3 linked regions of the Lytechinus pictus genome follow. The protein of the gene in region 1 purifies or fractionates together with the protein of each later gene. This does not show direct contact. Links are inferred from orthologs where the notes say so. Each region holds a gene or a part of one and is shown in the gene's direction. Other genes may lie near its edges.

Region 1 (6,975 bases):
ATTCTTGTCATTGCCATCATCGTTAGGATTACAATCACAATCATCACCATCATGATCACCGTCATTACCTTTCTTTTCGATATCATCATCACGATCATAATACCCATCACTGTCATCACGATCATAATAACCATCACTGTCATCACGTAAGTTACTCAGAAAACTGATTTAAAGACTGCCTAATTCGACGAATTATTCACTCAATTATTGTTTCAAACGTAAACTTAAGTTAATGCTGCATCGTACTGATGAGCTGCAAATAATAATAATTGTAATTGTGTTTTTCTATTCTTTCTTTCAGTATACTCTCTATTAATGAATGAACACAAAATTATCATAACGGGGATCATAGTAGGTGGAGAAATAGGAAGAAAAGAGAGAATTATAGGGAGGTAAATTATGTGATATTCCCTCAAAACAATTATCATGCTTGAAACAAAATCACTAAATCTATTTTTTAACACTTAAGAGGTCCATATTTTGGTAATTCTTAGCTTACATTCGTGTAATTGCACGCAAGTTAAATCAATCCATTATAGGGCTCGGGTCTCATTAGAAAAAAAAAACCCGGTATAGTGGTAGAATTAATGATAACATCGATGATTATGATAATAATGATAATAGAAATAATAGTAGTAGTAGTAATAATAATGATGCAAAAAGCTATGTGACTCTAAATACGGGCCTTGAGATTTGGCTCAGCCAGCAAAGAGTCAACATCAGGCAGATACTCGGACCCTAGCTAGAGCTGGAGAAGGAAGAAACAAAATGGATAATTATTGGTTGGGTCTGAGCATGTAATAGGTCCATGGTCTGAGGGACGATTGTGAGTAATCTATTTCAACGTTAACAATTTAAGTACTTTGCTTGGGACAGCTGCGCTGGCATACAAACTCGTAGTCAGCGTCTATCAACCCATTTCATTTCGCAGGCGCGCGCGTACGGCGGAGAACTGAGGCCAGGAACGTGAACCAAGATTGTTTGCTGGCCTGGCCAGGCATGTGATGCGCGGCCGAGTAGATTCTAGATTCTTATTCTAAAGCAGAGCGATTCCACTGATCGCTACATGTGAGTTGTTTTCCAAGCCAATCAGTTATCGAAAATGTAATTCAAAGAAATAATCTATGCCCATAATCTTTGCGAATGATATAGAAAAGGTTCGCTGATTGGAGTCCTATCGCGATAATTATCGCAGCTCGAGACAGTAGTTCGCGGCCGTGGCCGTGCGCCGAATCACCGGCAAGAACACGGCGATATCTGCCTCAGACTGGCCTGACGTTCACGCGCGTGAATATTGCGATAGTCAGACCCACATTGGTTAGCGCGTTTCACGTGCGTTATCTGTCAACTTTATTTCGAGCGATACTGTATCTGTATATGCATGTACTCTACTCTATTCGCTTCTTCTTTCTCTCTCTTTCTGTCACCTTATCTTTCCATGGGGCATGGTGGAGGTACGTTCAATAAATCACGGGGGGGGGCCTTTTTTTTTCATACCCATATTGAAATGTATTTGACCACACTGGTCCACCCACTGTGACAAGAGGTGACGAGAGTGAACCCTGGGAAGATTGCTTTTTGTGCCAAAAAATCCTTCCTCGTTCCCAGGCCCAATAGGCATGCGGCTAATACACATCCAGATATACAGTACTGCAATATCTATCAGATTGATTTCCACATTATCAAGTGATACCTTAGTTTGTGCAATTCTACATGTACATGATAAACCCTCAAATTGGCAACATCTGCTATTTACCAGCCCATTTTATTTGTATAAATTGGTAAGATAATTAAGTTTTAAAGTTTTTGAAGATGAACATCTGCACACAAAGGAGAAACTGAAAAAAAAACTCCATGGCCTGTATTCTGAAGTTGGGTTAAATTCAAACTGTGGTCTGAAGTTGTGGTTTAACTATAGAAAGTCAATTTGTTGCATCGATTCCTAACAGTAGAGGTTCAATGTTATCAGCTCAGTTGACTCTCGAATCATTCTTAAAGGACAAGTCCACCCCAACAAAAAGTTGTTTAAAGAAAAAGAGAAAAATCAGTTATGTGCACATCCTGGTCTGTATGCAAATGAGGGGACTGATGATGTCACCCGCTTACTATTTCTTTTGTATTTTATTATATGAAATATTCTAATTTTCTCCTCATGGTAATGTAAAAGAAGTTTTATTTTCCCTGAATATGTGGAATTACCATTGTTTTTAAAATTTATGGTTCAGTTAAGTTGGTCCTTATTGTCAAATTTGTAAAAATTGAAATATTTTATAATTCAAACATTAAAAAACAAAAGATATAGTGAGTGAGGGACATCAACTCTCATTTGCATGTCACTGAGTTCTGCATATAACTATTTTGTGAATAATAAGCAAAACTTTAAAATGTCATACATGTGTAACTTATTTAACATCCGATTTTGATGAAATTTTTCAACATTGTGCTTGTTAATTTTTTCTATATTGATTCAAATTAACATTTTTCGGGGGTGGACTTGACCTTTAACTGTTTGTGAAAGATATAGTCAACTCCACCATCAAAGACTTTATAAGAAAGAGCAAAGTAAACACAATAAACTTAAAATGTACACAAAATTTTGACATATTTGGCTTTCCATAATTTCAGCACAGAGTTAGACCATGGTCTAATAAAGTTAAACCAGAATACGGGTCATTTTGGTGAATAGATTTTTTCCCCTATTTGCTTCAACCATGCAGTTTAACAAGAATTTATATGTACCTATTTAAGATGAAATGAACAAAAAATGTTAACTATGTACATGTATTTATATAAAGTATTAAACCAGACAGCTAGGCTAATAATAGAAAAACTTGACAGTTTCAGTTTTGCTACATGTGTAGTATGATATGAGGCATTTGAAATAGACCATCATTTATAAAAGTGGTTAATGATTTCAATGCTTCCTTAAAAAGAGCAAGTCCACACCAACAAAAAAGTTGGTTTGAATGAAAAGAGAAAAATCAAACTAGTATCCATGTAGCACTGAAAATTTCATCAAAATCAAATGTAAAATTAAAAAGGTTATGTTATAAAGTTTTCCTTAATATCACAAAACGATGCGCACCATGGTCAATATGAGAAGACCTACTTTACCCAATCACTATTTTATATGAAATGTAAAATATAATAATGTATATAAATATAGCCGCTTCATACAGGTGTTTCAAAGCACACAGGTGGGCAGACTAATATAAACAATGAATCCATTAAAATATATATATAAATATATATATACATATCTTGATGTTTACCTCCTCATAATGCAAAACAAGTTTTATTTCCTTTCTAAAGATATGGAGTTGCCATTGTTGCGAAGTTCTAGTAGTTGCAACAATACATGTACTGTTTTGTGATTCATAAAGATATACATGTATTATCTCCAAATTTCTATGGCCATTAAAATATAAATCAGAATATTTCCAAGACACATTTACATGTAGGTCACTAGATACCTGTACATGTATGCTGTAACTTAAAAAAATAAATAAACAGTCATGTTAGAATGTTTGATGATACTTTAGTCTAATTCAAATTATCTGAATTATTTCTGTTTCTGATATATTCATTTGTAATTTGTGTCCCTGATGTGATAAATACTTTTTCACGTGCACTTTCCTGTTCATCATGTTATGCATCAAGAGTCTCACAACAGTTTTAATGTTTTTAGTGATTACATGATAATAAAATGAATTGAATTGAACATTTACCAAAGATTTAGATAGCTTTGATATCGAATGTTTTCAACCACCCCCTTCTATACTCAATTTTGTTTATCTTTTACCTATAGATGCTCATGAATTTTGTGATATCGAATTTTTAAAGTCTCTTTTGGAGACATTTGTAGACATGTTAACACTCTCATTCACATTTATTAATACCTTTTTCCTGGAAATTTACAATATCATTCTTCTGTGAGAAATTACTAATTCTAGATCATGTATTGTATCTTTCAGTCCAATCTGTTTTGAAGTTATTGAGGAGGCGCATATGACAAGATGTGGACACAGTTTCTGGTAAGATGAAATCAGTGAAGCTTTCTAATTGCATGTTAATATGTTTGTTGGCAATACAATTGAACTTCTTGTGGTACCTACCATGACTACATGATAATAACGATTACTGATATAATAACAATAGTTATAATTTAGAAAGGGCATCTTCCATTTAAGGCGCATTAGACCAAATTAAAAATAAAACATAAATTACATTTAATATTGATTTGAAACTTTAACAATGAATGAATTATATGGATGTCTGTCAAAAAACACTCTTATGCAGGTTATGTTATCAGGTAATATAACCACACACATACAGAATAAAGCACAAACATCTTACATTCTTCTGTTCTTAAAATTTTATGTTTTTTTTTTCTTTCTTAGCCGGAGATGTATATTGCGAAGCCTGGAGACAAGCAACAGATGTCCAAAGTGCAATTTTGTTATAGAGAAGACTGACCAAATATTTCCAAATTTTGCCTGTAAGTTTTGTACATTATTGCGAGGTAATGCGATATTGTACATACGAGTTGACGAGTTGATAGGAGACTAAATTAGGGAGCCAAGGTGAAAGCATTATACTGCACTATTGGTTTTGCAAATTGTCTTTATTCTGTGTTTAATGTGTTTGCAAGGAATGCAGTGTTGTATAAGTGACCGTAGAAGTTTTCTGGAGGTTGCTTGTGACTCTGTGACAACATGCAATACAGTTTCTTGGAGGCTGTGGGCAGGTGCCTTGTGTAATTAGAGTTGTTTTGTTTTGATATTAATGAAGACGGAGAATATATATTTATGACAAGATCCATAGATGGGTACTGGGCATAATGGTCCAAGTTCACAAAGACAAAAAGCAATAAAGCAACTAATTATTGGAATTATTTAATTGTGCACATTATATGTAGGAGGTGAACAAAACCACCAGTGATATAAACCTAATTTGCTTTGCTTTTTCATATAATAGCATGTACCTGTACTCATATTGCCTTGTAAATTTTTATGTCAACAGGTCTTTGAAATGCATTTTAGATGTTTTGAATTGATAATCAAAGTTTGAAAGAGTTCATATTTTACAATCTGCATGTACATGTAGCTGCATTTCAGTAAAATAATTATTCTTGTACAAAAGACTCCCAATTTCTCCAATCCTTTTGGCACTTCACGGTGATTTGATAGCTTTACAACTTTTCATATGAATTTGAGAACAGAGACAATCCTTTTAGGAAGCTCCCACATAAAGACATCAATAAATCATGGAATTGTTTTAAAGTGAATGCGATATAACACACATAGTTTTCACTTTGTTTGGTACACTGTATATTATCTTGATTTTTACCTCTCTTCTCTCTCTCTCTCTCTTTGCAGTGAATGAACTTATTCTGAAGTACAGACAAAGAGTTGAAGAGAAAAGGTTAAAACTTGGCCCTCAGGTAAGAAGCCTTAGATTCACGAAAGTTCTACGTGTAGCTTTACCACAGGTAAAAAATTGATAGTTCATTTTTAGGGACTTCTATACACAACCTACTGCCCAAATCTGTAATATTGGACAAGCTTATCCAATATTACAGATTTGTGCAGTAGGTTATGTAAACAATCTAATGTGGGTTTTCCAAAGCTCTTTTGACCATTTGGGGGCAAAATCACCCTGAGCCCCTGTGTAATTTTTTCCATTGCTTTACCAGGGAAATATATGGTTACATAAAATGCAGTCTGATTCTTCTCACTGTAAAGGTCGCTAGAACTTATATTGTTTGTAGAATAATACAAATTCTGAAACTATTGTATAGATGTGACATCACATATTGGTTTAGGGAAGAGTAATGACAGCCTTAATTCAGTTTGGTTGAATTATAAAGGAGATTCTGTTTGTAATACTACATGAAATGAGAAATATGGAACATGTGAGCAAAAGTCTTCCTCTCAACTGATCGATTGTTAAATATCATTTTGAAAAATTGAGTCAGATTTTCACTGTTTGAAAACACTTGCCATGGATATTACCATATCATGCATTTAGATTTATCAATACGCTAATTTTACTGGAAAATTGAAAAGGCCATTATATTGTTTTTAAATAGCTAAATTTTCACTCAAGAGTATTTAGAAATACTTTCCATGGAAGATTACAATATTAATATAAGGCTTTAATACAGATTAATGATTTCAAACTTTTAGTGAACTATTTCCAAATATTAGCATGCGCTATTTTCAATGTAAAAAACAACAACATTAGAACAAGGCTATTACATACATTGATTGATTTCTCTTAGACTGGTGGTCCTACACCTGATGTTCAAGAATTTATTCAAGACCAAGAGAAATGGGATCTAGCAGAAGTCAACCTCATGTTAGAAGTACTAGTCAGCAAGAAAAGGAAGCTGGAGATGGTATGAAATAAATAACTCTCATATGATTTTATAACAGGGAGATATTGCTGCATTATGTAGCAGAAGACAATGAAGTCGTAATTATGATAATAATAACTAATAAGTATATTGTAATTGATGTCTCAGAATGGGATACCAGAAATATTCCAAGAGTTAGGGCTAATATTACATGAAGTGCATTTAATTGGAATATTGGCTCTAACAGTTGAAATATTTATGGTATTCCATGACATAAAGCCATCCAATATTATCATAATTATCTATCCCACCCCCCCCCCCCAAAAAAAGGGGGAATTGTATTGAGCAAGTCGTGTCATTTACAGCCTCACTTCATGGGATCAAATTAATGCGACTTTTGTAGTTCATTATAACGTCATTAAGCATCATTGCGCTCTATGCTGCACATTGCTTTCATGAATCTTATACCTAAAATCATAGTAGATATCATTGAATTAAAATATTCAGATTCTAGTAGGACTATTCAATTAATTATTGATATAATAATATTCTTTTTTATTTTGCTTTTTGTTTCTACCATAGGACAACCAGGTAGCCCAGATCCAGATCCTGAAAGA
Region 2 (7,965 bases), on another chromosome or scaffold:
AGCCATCGTCGGGCCTATATGGATCCGCGCATGTTCATTGTCTTCTTAAAGTTATCTTTAAGCCTAACTTAAAGGACAAGTCCACCCCAACAAAAAGTTTATTTTAGTAAAAAGACAAAAATCCAACAAGCATAACGCTGAAAATTTTATCAAAATCGGATGTGAAATAAGAAAGTTATGACATTTTAAAGTTTCGCTTAATTTCACGAAACAGTTATATTCACATCCTGATCGGTATGCAAATGAGGAGACTGATTACATTATCCACTCACTATTTCTTTTGTATTTTATTATATGAAATATTCTAATTTTCTCCTCATTGTCAAGTGAAACAACGGGTATTTCCCCCATGCTCATGTGGAATTAGCATTGTTTAATATATTTTATGGTTCAGTCAAGTTGGTTCTTATTGTCAAATCTGTAAAAAATGAAATATTGTATAATTCAAACAATAGAAAACAAAAGAAATAATGAGTGAGGGACATCATTGACTGTTTCATTAATTTGTATGTCATTGAGTTGTGCATATCGCTGTTTTTTAAAATAAGCGAAACTTTTAATATGTCATAACTTTGTTATTTTACATCCGATTTTGATGAAATTTTCAGCGTTATGCTAGTTTGATTTTTTTTCTATTTTTTCAATCAACATTTTTCTGGGGTGGACTTGACCTTTAAGAACCTAGATGAACCTGTCAACAAGAATTATTACTTGCCACATCATATTTATATTCATCATGTTCAGTTATCTTGTGAGAAATCAAAATCTTTTCTTTTTGCCCCCCCCCCCTTCGAAGATTCCGACAGGGAATCGCGCGATCGTGACGAAAATTGGCAAGAGGGTAGAGAATGACATAATCTACGCGATATAGGTTATAATTGCAATAAATCTATACATTTTATACGAATAGTTATGTTAAACAATTTATGAAATCATACTTTTTGCTATAACGGTTCTAGAAGGCTAACTTTTGACGAAAATCATGGCCCTGGGAAGCGGGGGTGCTGGGGTGCTGAAGGCCTGAAGCACCATAAAAAATGTCCTTGGGGTGCTGCGTATATTATTCTGCATAGGGAGCACCCCAAGGTATTATAGAAGATGTGTAAAGAATTGAAAAATGTAACCAAAATGACCTTCACTTTAAATGAAAAAAATCTGATACCAAACTCGAATTCTTATGTAGGCCTATTTCTTTTTAAATGTCTAAGATGTCTTTGTTTTATGTTCTTTTTATTATTTTTTTTTTATACAAAATCCGTCCGTGATATTGTTTCGGCCATCAATAGTATATCAAATTATAAGACTGCTTTCAATTAAAGTAAACATGGCCGTTCACAGATTTTTTGCGGGGGGGGGGGGAATGTGTTAACTTTTTCGAAAAAAAAATGAAAGCGAGCGTATGAAGCAACCAAGCTTGTCATTGGGGGCACTTTAGCATTTTGTAAAGTGAAAATAAAGGATTTCGTGCATACTTTGGGTGAATTTGGGAAAATTTTCAGTAAAAGATGTAAATTGTCAAAGTTTCGGGGTGAGGGGCAAGTGCCCCTGCCTCCGCTGCATGCAGTCATTTGAGTAGTTGTTACTTGGGAATTTTAGCTGGAAAACGCTTTGTATTGACTTTGAAATTACGTTTTTGAGCAATTTTTGGTTTGACATGCTCTTACATAATAATTTTTTATAATGTTGTGTAATTTCTAAACCGCGTACCCGGGCGTCACAAATTTGGTCTCAAAGAAACGTTGCGCGAGACTTGATAGTAGAAATCAACTTTGTCATCCTTTAATTTACCCCACCCCACTTCCCCTATTTATTAGTAGGCCTAATCAGTGGCGGGTCCCGGGGTGCATAGCCGGCCCGTGTTCCCCCTTTTGGGAGCCAAAATCAAAATTTATAATGTAAATATTCCGTTTTACTCAAGTGTGCCCCCCCCCCCCTTCCGAACCGCGGACGAAATGACCTTCAATTTTTGGTAAAAACTTTTTTTTTCCTTTTTTTTCTTGTCAAATTTTCATCGGGAAAATATCATTGTGCCCCCCCCCTTTTGGAAAATCCTGGATCCGCCCCTGGGCCTGATAATAATAATAATAATGATAATAATAATAACAACAACAATTTGCATTTATAGCGCCATCTATTCGGAGTTCATATTCTATTCAAGGTCTCACAAGAGACTGAAAGAAAGAATAAGAGTTTGGATGAGTGTCCTTTACATTGCGTATAAAAAAACGGGGCAGATTTGAAAAGTCTTTAAATTTTTTATTTCTTATTATGATGTCTATATTATTTTGGTGTTAATAGGTGCTCTGAAGTCGTATCTTTCAAATGCTATTAAAAAATTAGTTTCGTTCATGCTTGGCCGAACACGGAATGTTTTGTCTGGGGTTAAAAAGGAGGCTTGCGCCAAAATGGCATAAAATAATAAATATGATGATCGGACTTCTTGCTAATCAGCAGACTTCCTCTTAACCTTTTCATTATCTTTGCCATAATTTTCGAATTATGAGGTCAAAATTCATTTTCAAATCTGTTTGTTTGCTTGAATTGTTCTGTTGTTGTTTCTTTTTTATGTTCTCTAAGCTTTGAATATTCCTTCTTTAAGTAAACACAAAAATTATTCAACCGAAGTATGGGAGAGCGTGTATTTTTTTTCACATCTTTCATTGTGTACTACAAAGGTTATGGTGCCTTTGAACAGTGGCATACAGATGGGTGGGGGCTCAGGGGTGCCCCCAAATAAAAAAAATCGTGGCCAGAAATAAATTGAAAGGAAATAAAGGAAAAGATAGAACGTGAAATATGATTAATTTATTTTTTGATATTATGTCAAAATCTAACACAAAATTTGATATTTTAATAAAAAAGTGGAAATTTTGAGTTCTCGCTTTACTCGCTCACAATTTTTTAATATATTTTATCCGATCTGCCATATCTAGCTCCTTCAAAATTGACTCAATACACCATTGCCATTGAAAGACATGAATCCTTTCCTCTTTGTCCTGTCCAGCACATAACCCCTTGAAAATAGGATTAATGTTTTTTAAAGGTACCATAACATATAATTCGTTTCACATAATAAAAGGATTTAAATAATTACAAGTTCTCCCAATTAATAATGCAAATCTTCTTGCTTGGGTTGACAAAAGTTCTTCTTTTTCTTTCTTATGAATTAAAATTCAAAGGTAAAAGAAGTTTAAATGAAAAAAAACCAAAATAATTCAAGTAAATAAGTAATTTTTTAAAGTGAAATTTGACAGCACAATTCGAAAATCATGGCAAAGATAATAAAAATATTAAGAGGAAGTCTGCTGCAAGAAGTCTGATCATCAAATTTCTATTTTTTTACCATTTTGGCGCAAGCCTCTTTTTGAACCCCAGACAAAAACATTCCGTGTTCGCTCAAGCATGAACGAAACTAACTTTTTAATGGAGAATATGGACCCATCTTTAAGGCCAGTATTTAAAAAATGGGGCCATGGACCCATGTTTAAGGCCAGTATCTAAAAATTGGGGGCATGTTTAGGGATTTTCCAGCATAAAACCATACCCATGCATGTTTAGGGAATTCTTCCAAAAAGCGACCCATTCCAGCGGCACATCCCCGTATGCCTTATTTCGTGAGTATATACCCTCCCCCCCCCCCCCCGGGGGTGGGTCTGTTCTTTCTGACGTGTTTTGTATGTTCCCTTTTCTTTTGTTTTCCCTTTATTCTCTTAATCTCCCTCTCTGTTCTTATTTTCCATTTCCCCTTCAACTTATCTTTCCCTCTTATGTAGGCGTATATTTCTCTCCCCCCTTCCCCTTTTCCTCTTCGTGGCGTGAATGTAAGCGGTGGGGTCATACCCTTTTTTTACAAAAAAAGTCCTATCCCATACAGCAAGGCAGTCAAGAGTGTATGATGAGATGACTTTGATCAAATCAAGCCGCTCTTCCCGTTTCTTTGTGTTTATGTTTCCAACGCCTCGTCCAGTGGTCGCGAGCTGAAAATATTTAATATTTCGATCTGAAAACTATACATTTTAGGTACAATATGAAATAAAGTAAAGATGTGTATTCAATGAACAATTTTGATAATTCAGTTTATCTTTTTCCTGACTCGGAAGGGAACCTGTGAAGAATTATTAATTTTGTTTAAGATTAAAAAATTGCCATTCCCCCTCTTATTTTCGTCACATTTCTTTTGTTTGTTTTTTCCGTTCTCTTTTTTTGGCTCTTCATTCCAGCTCATCTTTTGTTTCTTCATTCCATTTCTACTTTTCTTTGTCTTCTCTCTCTCTCTCTCTCTTTCGCTTTGCCCCATAGGGCCGTAGATCCGCCTATCCCTTCCCATTATCTTTTCAATTCTAATGATATCTATATAGTGCAAACATACCTCCATGGTACAAAGGGGTTTAAGGGCTTTGAGACTCATATATTCAAATTTTGTTGAAAAAAAATCAGTGATATTTCTTCCCCTCGAGTTTAAGTTTGTCTTTTCTCCCCGCTTTTCTCTCCTTCATTTACTTTTCATTCCACTTATCATGCTAGCTCTCTCTCTCTCCCTTCCTTTTCTTTCTCCTCTCCCCTAAATTTCTTTTTCTTCTTTTCTTCTCCTTTATTTCTCTCTTCCCTCCTCATGATCCCTTCCCTTCTTTTTTTTCTCCTCAGTTTTCTCTCTCCTTTCCTTTCTTTTAATTCCTTCTCTATATCCTCTCTCCCCGCCCCTCTCTCTTTTCTTATAGAGGGATGCGTGCCGGGGTGCATGTTAGCTAAATCCTGGAGCTAAATAATACGGAGTTTATATATCTCTATAGAATAATGTGACCTATAATGCCCAACGTATAAGGATGTTCGTTTTCCAAATATGGTGTGTCGGATGACAACTCATCGCTGCGTCATCATGTCACGTAGTATTTCGCAATCATTGTTTGCATAGCTTGAATTGGGTTTCGTTGCTTGTGTGTAATAATTCGGATACGCGCGCGTAAGCGCGTTTTGCGCTCGCAAAGTTTTATTTTGCAATCAAAATGGCACCGACGGAGTCCAATTAGCCGCCTTTGGCTCTCGAATTTTCAGAGACCATCCACTGAGCAGGGTAAAGGCGTCGTTAGAAAGCATCTAACGGTGCTTAGCAAATATCACTCTGGAGTCTCAACTTTTGGCAGAGAAGGAAACAATTTGGAATTCGATAAATCACCCTGACAAAAAAATTTACAGAGTCCGTCATCACTCAGCATTGTGCAACCTATTTCGTGGCATAGAGAGACAACGTTACGACGCCCTGCATTGCAATTGCATTGATCAGATTCGGATTGGTATTGCGTCATTCGATGAATTGTGTATTATTTACACGTTTACAATATCAAGCAAGCACATCTTACCGTCTTCAACACAAGCTTTGACGTTAGCTGGACTAGCGACTCAGCTCCGAACACGACGGCTGGATCTGTTATTTATGTTTTTCTTGGACTTGCCCTAGAAATTGAATTGTGAAGCTGAACTTCCTGAACTGAAGACAACTTGACAAGTGAACTGAAATTCCATATGAATATTGGCAGGACCAATTCAGTGTGTTTTTAATAAAATTGAGAGGATCTGGACCTCTTCATTGTCTTGAATGATTTTAATTCCATTTTCCAGCGCAGCTGAATCAGATATTTGGCAGTTGCCAATATTTTGCTATCTATTTCACGTAAATAATATCAGAGACTTCTCTTAAAGTAAAAGTAAATCTCAGGGTTGTTGAAAAGGAGCATCTAACTCTAGTAATTTAATCTAGGCCTAACTAACTTTCCTAAGTGCTGCTAATGTTATATTAAGCAGCATCATTCATCGGTGTGTTAAGAAGCCAGGAGGCCCAGGACACAACTACGGAGAAAGATACACGGCCGAAAGTATACTGGAATAAACCTGTGAACTATTGAAGTGAATTTTGCTTTTAACCATAGTAGATACAAACAACTACAAACCAAAAGAGTAGCCTAAAGTTCTAGTGTAGCACTGTTGATGTAAAAAACAACTAGCAAAATTTTGTTTCTCTTTTTGGTCAGAGGTTTAATTTGCTGAGCTTGAATCGGGTCAGAGAGGAATCAGAAATAAATTGTCACTTGATGAACAATTTTGCATCTGCCCCTATTCCGATCCATCATGGTCGGGGTAAATTTCAAATATTTCAGGACGTTTCTTCCGAATCAACTGGTGGACAATTGAGTCCTCAGCCACAACTTTCCCCGAGTCCGCCAAGTTTTGTATCCAGTGAGGATCATGTAGTCTCGAGAATTGGAAATTATGTTCTCCTGGAGGAAGTAGCTCCGAAAGTAAACAAGTGTATTGATACTTTAAATAACAAAGAATGCATTTGTAAGGTGAGCTCAGAAGATTTTGTAATTAAGGTTTTTTTTTTATGGGCAGTCCTTCTTCCTTCAATGTCGAAGCTTAACAGCAATACAGAATTCTTATCTACCCCTTTAGGAAATGTACTGTAAAGAGTTACTCCAAGCTGAAAGAAATGTGATTTGAACTAGTGTTGAACAGAAAAAGTAGAATCAGACCAATAGAATTTTCACTGAAAATTTCATTAAACAAGGAAAACAACTTTTGAAAAACTCAAGTTTGTCATAACTTCAGTCAGTGTATCAATTTACATTGTAAGTCTTCATAAGTACATGCATGATGTAACAATGAGCAAGCTTATCATTTCATCTCCCCACTTTTTCTTCGTAGTTCTGTTTATTATATGAATTTATCTAAAATTTGTGCTCTATGAATGTAGATGATCATCGCTCCAACATGTACACAGGCATCAGGAAAGATTGGTGCTAACAGTTCGTCAATGGCTGTCATATGTACACATACATGTAGGTTAACGTTTGAGGCTGGTAAAGTCCAGGCCAATTCCCGTATTTGGTGCGTGTCACATCATAGTTCTATAAATATACTAGTAATGCAAAATTTGTGTTGCTATAATAAGTACTCGGGCAGGTGCAATGGATGAGATTAAAAGGAAAGTGATTGGGGTTGACAATACTTTCTCTTTCACCATGGTAAAAAAACGTTTTATTACTCTTATCTACATGTACATGTAACTCAATGATTAGCATTTTATTCAAGACAGGTTTCTTAAGTCTTAAAAACTCAATAAGTGGTAAATATAGCCTTCAACCTATCCAGATACGAGAATCCTCATATCTTGGATTATGATGTATAGTTTGTATACCGTTTTCAATATACATGTATTCACATCATTGAAATTTGACAATATTGTGATATCGTCATTTATACAGACCTACTGTACATGTCATGTATACTGCAACAATTCATACAAATATGATGATTTTGTTCTTATTCTTGTTAATACAGGTAGTGGATGTGGATAAATACCGGGAGGCATTTGCTGTACACTTTCACTTAGGCTATCATCCCCATATTAACCATGTTGAAGAGGTGTTGCATGGTCAAAGTCAGGCGTATGTCATCTTGCCCATCACCCATGGAGACATGCACTCCTATGTCAGGCGGAAGCGCAAGCTGCGAGAGCGGGAGGCTGCCTCCCTCTTTCATCAGATGGTGCAAGCCGTTGCTCACTGCCATGCCCATGGCGTCATCCTGCGGGACCTGAAGCTGCGCAAGTTTGTCTTCAAGAAAGAAGAAAGGTATTGCACAGTGTCAAATCTGTCAAATGTCAAGGCTTTTACTATTCTCTTGATTTATTGACACAAAGTACATTTGAGATTTGACTCACTTGAGGATAATATCTATCAGTTGTTGTCTTCTAATGTCAGTCTAAATCGATGGGAAACCCAATTATGTTACACTGTACTTGTAATAGAAAAAATCAATTCAATACAAAAGCATTTCATAATTGTTAGAAAGTACTGGTAATCTATTATTGCCATTTATGTAATACACAGTTACATGTTAGGTTGCAGGGTAAAGGATGATTCAGGTCAATAATCTTATGTATTACTATCATAATTACCTGTAACTTTC
Region 3 (7,587 bases), on another chromosome or scaffold:
CCTAATGCATTTATTTTCTAATGATTCTGAAATATACCATTGTGAGGACGGTTAAAGGCCAAGTCCACCCCAGGAAAATGCTGACTTGAATAAATAGAGAAAAGTAAAACTAGCATAGTGCTGAAAATTTCATCAAAATCGGATGTAAAATGAGAAAGTTATGACATTTTAAAGTTTCGCATATTTTTCACAAAACAGCTATATGCACAACTAGGTGAGTCAGTCGATGAGGTCAATCACTCACTATTTCTTTTTTTTTTTTTTTTTTTAATTATACAATATTTCATTTTTTATAGATTTGACAATAAGGACCAACTTGATTGAACCATATAGTACGTATTAAACAATGCTAATTCCACAGGGAGGAATTAATCATTGTATCACTTGACAATGGGGAGAAAATTAGAATATTTTATATTTCATACAATAAGATACAAAAGAAAAAGTGAGTTGGTGACGTCATAGTTTCCTCATTTGCATACCAGCCATGATGTGCATATAACTGTTTTGTGGAATTAAGCGAAACTTAAAAATGTCATAACTTTCTTATTTTACATCCGATTTTGATGAAATTTTCAGTGTTATGCTTGTTAGATTTTTCTCTTCTTATTCAAATCAACTTTTTGTTGGGGTGGACTTGTCCTTTAAGACTTTTGACAGGCCCTTGTTTCTGCTAGCGGGTTCGAACATAATATAAGAGAAATTTCGCTGTTAATCCATCTTTTAAAAATAATCCTTGTTTTAAACGCGGTGTCTCCACTACAACTACTTCGGGCAGATTCAAAGAAGACTCGATGAAGTTATATCGTAAAATAAAATTGAACGTAGTTGTGAAAAATCAATTTCCGCAGTATAAAATAATTTTATTAATAATAAAACTTTTCTTAACTACGTGTGATGGCTTTATACTTCTTAAAGTAACAGAATGGTGTCAAAATGTAGTGAGCAATTAAGGTGACTGGCAATGCTATGTGAAATTAAAAAATATAATGATATAAATACAAATAGATCTCACAACAAATAGTGTGCTGGGTTAATAAAGCATGTTCAGATTCAAAACTCTGTGATTCCTTATAACAATTGAATTTCCAATTTGGCTATTTTCTTTTAACTTGATCAAAGAATTTTGGATAACATTCTGACACTGTCCGTTTCGGGAAGGTTTACACAAACGACCAGGAAAGGGCGATCAATTCGAATAATTCAGTTGACATGTCGACCTACACTCTTAGAAATGTTTTAACTAACCCAAAATTTATTTCAAATATGGACCTACCAACTGTTAGTTGAAAGTTAGTTGAAACAAAATTCCATGCAAAATAATTGGGGTTGTTTTGACCAACAATTATTAGGTTCATATTTGAACGAACTCTTGAGGTGGTAAATCGAATTTCTGAGAGTCTATTTGTAAAGCAAAATCAAATCACCACAGCTTTGTGAAGTTCTTAATGACTTAGGATAATGAAAAACAAAAAATCTACCTCATATGATCTATGCAAACTGTTTTATTTTTTACCATACTGATCGGAATACATACCACCCCCCCCCCCCATGGCGCAACGGGGAGCATGGGGGCACGTGCCCCCCAATCGGCTAGCAAAGGCCAAAAAGGAACCAGGGAAATGGAGAGAAAGAGGGAGAAAGGAAAAGAAACGTAATGGGGAAGAAAAAAATTATTGTTTATTATAATGTTATATTATGTTATAATTATTTTATTTTATATTACATAAGAAACAAATTTTTTCATAACTTTATGAAACAATGTTTTGCTCAGGGCCTATGTTTTCATTGTCCCTGGTGCTCACATTGTCTGTTTAACGAGATATGTAATCCTGTTGTACTAAAACCTCCCGTTTTCAAGTCAATATACACCAAATATTTCATCGCACCTCCAGTTATTATTTTTTATGTAGTGACATATGCTTCTTTTTCATGACTACTTAAAGTGATTGCCCCATTTTAAGGTCTTAATATGAAACATATCCTGTTCGTGCTTACGTTCACACTAGTGGATTGGTGAGATATATCTGCTCCTTTTCATGAATTCCTATAATCAGTCCTTAAAATGTCCCTTTTTCTGATCTGAATATCAAAAATTTTCAGCTCGCGCTTCGCGCTCCCATCATTTTGGTTAGTGAAATAAGTGCGGTCTTCGTGAAATCCTACAAACAATCCTTGAAATGCCTCTTTAGGTCTGAATTTCCTAAATTTTCAGCTCGCGCTTCGCGCTCGCAATATTTGATTAGTGAGATGCATATGTTAATATTGATTACAAAAAATTGCTTATAATGTCCCCTTTTAATGGATTCTTCTTATTATTATTCTTAATATTATTTTAGGTCTGAATATCATTTTTTTTAAGTACGCGCTCGCATTATTTGATCAGTGAGATACATATCCGTTTAATGGCACTGTCCTGAACATGTCTCTATTAGGTCAGTATACCTGGCAACTGAGCGCGCTTCGCGAGCTCACTAAGTGACTCAAAAATTTTGCTGGTGCCCCCCAATGCCGTGACCCAAGGTACGCCATTGCCACTCCCCCCCCCCTTCTTTACACTTAAACTTTAAATAAATACGCAGGGTTTTCGACATGATTGTGACATGCAGCTTCGTATGTATATGATTGACTATCAACAAAAGTTTGCATTCCATGTTCTGAAAGTCCATAACCCATTTTATCCTGAAAAGCTTTTGAGGTTAACATATGTGAAATATGTTTAATATCTGAAAATATAATCATTATGTGCCCGCAGATCCTTCCAGCATGCTTTTCTTTTCATAACAATATTTACCAAAATCCAAGAAACTATGTTTACGGGAAAGCTGCTTGCATGGTACTACAAAATACCAAAATGGCGTTAGGTAAAGACGTGCTCAAAGAATTTCATCTTGCACTTGTCAATAACAAATTTTAAAATGGTGATAAAAGGTTACCCCACTCAACAGAAAAATGTCGCACAAGACTTTGATGTTGAACCAGTGAAAGCAACTCCATTAAAAGTTTACTCAATCAAATTGCAATTACCATAGTTTTTTGTGATTTCCATCAATCAAAATCAACGATTGCGATTGATAGGTAAGGCAAATAAAATTCTGGGAACTGAAAATAGTTAAGTCTTTGAAGGCAACCTCTTTCATAATCTCATCTCATATTAGTTATTTTTATTTTGTAATAAACCCTTTTTTCATAAAAATTGCAATATATAATTAGCCAATGATTTTTCTTTTATTAGATCAAGCATGTCAAACTTATTGATAGGTCGACTACGTTTGTTCTTTGGAGAATTTGGAGGTGGTAATAAATCATTTAAGTATATAATTATATTTTTCATAAACTGTTTATGTTGAAGAATAGACACAATAGCTATGTAATGGTGGTTTTATGAATTTTAGACATAATTATGCACGTACGGGACACTTTGCAATATGCATTGTATTTAATAATAAATAAAGGGGGAATACTTCGTTATAGCCTATATACGGAGCATATTTTCTGTGTTTTTGAATACTTATTAAACTCTCGTTCTTATTCACCAAAGAAGAAGTATTCAATATTGATGATATCTTGATCATGATATATGACAAATATAATTTCAGTCAGCAAAAATTAAATGGTCCCATAAAAATCTATTCCCAATCGTGCAATTAATGTCAAGTCTTGTTCATTGTGTTTCGAGTAATGTTTTTGTCCCATGATTATCGTAACACAATTGAAAAACAAAAGGATTATATAATTTAAAGAAACTATAAACAAAATTCTTAATAATACTTCTAAAAAGAATTTGATTCAAATACAAAATCATTCCGTCAGAAAATAAGAATGAACGAGATGGATATTGTTTTTATTTAGCAAAAATATATTATTTTAGACCTTGGCAATGGGACAGTTAAGTAGAGGTGCCGTGGCCGAGTGGGCTAAGGCGCCTGGCTATGCATTTGCTTTTAATAGACTCCATTCATTTTGGAAAAACATGTGAACAATACGACACCCATTTACAAATTCAATGCAAATATTCCAAATGTTGATCTACAGCTCTCGATTTCCTAATTCCTTTCTGTTTTTATTTTTAACTCAAATCTTGCATTAAGTTGTTTCAATGTATTCAGTTTATTTAATATCATGGCATAACGTTATATCCCCCTCCCCTCCGCGTGACACGCAGACAAATGTATTAGGAATATGATCTCAAATGAAAGTGATGAAATATAAGAAAACATTTTTTTAATGTTTTAGTAGGGCCTATCGCTAGTTCGTTTCTTCCTGAAAAACTTGTTTTTTCGCTTGGAGTTCATCTTTGGTTTATGTTTTGTGTGCTGTATTTGTGTTAGAATTTGGGGCAAGTTGGGGTTTATTGTGTACGTGTTTTTTTTTCTTATTTTTTGTTGTTGTTGTTGTTCTTTTTACAACAGAAATTGCACACCCAACTCTCAGTGCACTTTTTTTTCCAACTGAGATATCCCACATGTTTATGAGCACCGTCTACCAGTCTTCACCACCAACCACTGACCAACGCTACGCTAACGAACACTTGCTGCCCTCTACGTTCGTTGGTCTTCATCAATTTCTATCAAGCTAAGGAGTACTCATACTACTTGAGCTTGGCCTTGGTAGTCTGCACAATTTAAGTTGAAGTGGCTTTGATTTTACACTGCGAACATGGATGCTAATCGATTTTTCAGGAGATATTCATCATAACTAAGCCAAGAATTCTTCATTGTTGTATTAAGATGCAAAATTCAGCAATAGATGGAATGAGCAATGAGGTACGCTGATTGCAAATGAGAAGCAAGTCAAGTGCCGTGCCCCACATGTCTATATTCGTGTAAGTATACATGCATAAGTGCATGAAAAGGCGCTATCCCTATGGACGGTCTCACTAAGTTTACTTCTCTCTCATTAATAAGACTAAGAGACATAGTCAGATGTAACTTATGATGAATTGGTAGTGTTTTTTTTATTATTGGATAATGCTGTAAGTCGAAGCTGTGATCGGCGGCGAAGCACACCGAATGATAAATTGCCAATTTTCATTTTCAATCGTCATTCCATATCTGCACAGAATATAGGAATTTCGAGCCGTTGTTTATCTCGAAGTTTGGGGATTTTTTTGTCGGGATATGTTTAAAGTGTTTTGAGGTGCTAGCTATTTATATATTTAAGGAAAGAACTCTTGTTTTCTGAAAAAGAAGTGTACATGTTTCTGTAGAAGACACATTTTCGTAGACTAGAGTCAGAACCACTCACACAACATGCGAGGTTAGTATACTAACCTCGCACAACACATGTGATTTCATAGTGCATTTTGACGTTTTCATTCATCACACGAATGTGAGGGACTAAACTACGCCAAACCTTTCAATATTTGTCCACTATGTTAATTTTGATCGTATGGTTTAAGTTTTTTAGAAAAAGAAATTATAAATTATTTATTAAAGTGTTTTTATCGCTTACCTCCAAATCTCAACCAGGATACTTCGCTCGGTCCGTCCTTAGTCATCCTTCGTACTGCGGTGGAAATTACGCAAACAACAATCGAAATGCGAAATTTTCCTATCGAACATTCTCGATTCAAGTCGTCGGCGCATAATAGGAAATTGTACCAAAAATCAACATAGTTCTCTATTTATTCAAACAATTTTTTCTGGGGTGCACTTGACCTTTAAGAGATTTTCCAATGAAAATATTACATGGAACTTGGAAATACAAATCATAATTTGGTTGAACAAAATGTTTTCTGTTAAAGTATAAAACAGAAGAGGAACATATCCTTCACGTATTTTTATATCCAAAATATGTTGCCTTAGTATGGAATAATCACAATGACATAAAATGAAAATGGGTAAAGTACCTTCCTAATGATCATTGAGATTTCGCCTATGGAATCATTGTTTAATAATTTTCAAAGCTTTAAATAGATGAAAATGTTCATTGAGAAAATATACATTTATATATATGAACAAAATGATAATGTCCCGATTGTTTCGCATTACGTGTGTTAGATTGCGGGCGTTTGTGTGTGTGTGTAGGAAGCAAGATATTCGTGTTAATGTTTGCACAAAAAAGGAGAGGGAAAGGGAAAGGAAAAGGGGAGGGGGAAAGGTAGAGGAGAGAGAGGGAAAAGGAGACCATAAAATAGAAAGAAAACAAAGGAAAGGAAGAGGGGAAGGGAGAGAGAAAGAAAAATGGAAAGAGCGAGAAAAGAGTAGGGGAGGGAGAAAGGAAAGAAAAGAAGGGAAAGGAAAAAGGGAGAAAGGGAATGGAGGGGGCGGGAAAGGAAAGGAGAGACAATAAAAGACAGATCAGGGGAGGGGGAAAAGTAGAGGAGAGAGAGGGAAAAGGAGACCATAAAATAGAAAGAAAACAAAAGAAAGGAAGAGGGGAAGGGAGAGGGAAAGAAAAATGGAAAGAGCGAGAAAAGAGTAGGGGAGGGAGAAAGGAAAGAAAAGAAAGGAAAGGAAAAGCGAAAAAGGGAAGGGAAAGGGAGAGAAGAAAAGAAGGGAGAAGACGAAAATGGGGAAAGGGAGAAGGAGAGGGGATGATGAAGGGGATAGGAAAATGTCAAGTTTGAAGATCTGCATATTAACACTAAAACAAAATTAGACTCCCATGTTTTATTTATAAAAATACCTTCTTTTTCATGATTATAAAGGTTCAAATGCCCTCGCATTATTTTTCATTTAGATACAGTCCTGTCATCAATATCAATAACTCTAAGCGCGAGCTTCGCGCTGGCATCATTTTTGTAAGTGACATTTATGATGTTGTTCATATTTTAAAAATGTCCATTTGTTGAGGTTTAAATGTCCAAAAGTTCAGCGCTCGCATAATTTGTAAGGTAAATAGGCCTACCCTTTTAATTGTTATACAAAGGCGCTTATACAACGTCCAGAATGCAGTTCGGAATATTGAAAATAACTAAAATAAAATATGATGAAAAAGTATCGTTAAGACTGAATTAAGAAAAAAAGAAGCTCACGTTTCACGCTCGCATTTTGATCCGTTAGCTTGTGATAATAATGGTGACTTTGTTAATATATCTTAGCGGACATGTCCACCTTTTGGTGCTTCAAGAAAAATAAACACAACACACAAATAATAATAGAAAACGAACAAGAATAGAATAGATAGTTACCTATCCCCCTATCCCACTCATGAATTCTTATTTAAAAGTCCCCAAAACGTCTTTTTTTCGTGTTAGCTTATTTCATATACATATATATATATATATATATATATATATATATATATACAGTGCGTCCCAAAAAAAACTATACACTTTTGAAATGGCTGCCAAATAAAAAGTATATCACTTTGGGGGAAAAGACATATATATATGGAAAGCCGATAAAGTCGTCTTTCAAATGACACCAAAATGTTGGAAAACTATTCATGCTTGAGTGAGCACTACCCGCTTAAACAAAGGGTATGAAAATTAGGGTGGGCAGGAATTAGCCTTTCGGTTTCTTTCAGTTTTTGAGAGGCGAGTCCCTTGGAACTTGCAAACTGGAGGGTTTTCTGATGAATTGATGGTCATTCATTATCAATTTAAATTGTTAGAGCAAATTTCATGAATTATCAAATTGA

Evidence for each region.
Region 2: the proteins of E3 ubiquitin-protein ligase COP1-like (region 1) and tribbles homolog 2-like purify together in Homo sapiens (affinity purification with mass spectrometry; 4 studies listed by BioGRID and IntAct, counting the BioPlex papers as one, with this or other methods). This does not show direct contact. The link is inferred for Lytechinus pictus from reciprocal best matches to the Homo sapiens genes COP1 and TRIB2.
Region 3: the proteins of E3 ubiquitin-protein ligase COP1-like (region 1) and DET1 homolog purify together in Homo sapiens (affinity purification with western blotting; 11 studies listed by BioGRID and IntAct, counting the BioPlex papers as one, with this or other methods). This does not show direct contact. The link is inferred for Lytechinus pictus from reciprocal best matches to the Homo sapiens genes COP1 and DET1.

The regions. Positions count from the first base shown.
Region 1 is NC_087259.1:28,175,118-28,182,092, reverse strand, and holds the start of E3 ubiquitin-protein ligase COP1-like, read left to right. Parts: upstream 1-3,972; 5' UTR 3,973-4,008; coding exon 4,009-4,034; intron 4,035-4,400; coding exon 4,401-4,498; intron 4,499-5,378; coding exon 5,379-5,443; intron 5,444-6,283; coding exon 6,284-6,400; intron 6,401-6,940; coding exon 6,941-6,975. UniProt on the Homo sapiens protein: E3 ubiquitin-protein ligase that mediates ubiquitination and subsequent proteasomal degradation of target proteins.
Region 2 is NC_087245.1:26,667,771-26,675,735, forward strand, and holds the start of tribbles homolog 2-like, read left to right. Parts: upstream 1-4,944; 5' UTR 4,945-6,086; coding exon 6,087-6,341; intron 6,342-7,335; coding exon 7,336-7,628; intron 7,629-7,965.
Region 3 is NC_087249.1:4,384,725-4,392,311, forward strand, and holds the start of DET1 homolog, read left to right. Parts: upstream 1-4,566; 5' UTR 4,567-4,825; intron 4,826-7,587. UniProt on the Homo sapiens protein: Component of the E3 ubiquitin ligase DCX DET1-COP1 complex, which is required for ubiquitination and subsequent degradation of target proteins. The complex is involved in JUN ubiquitination and degradation.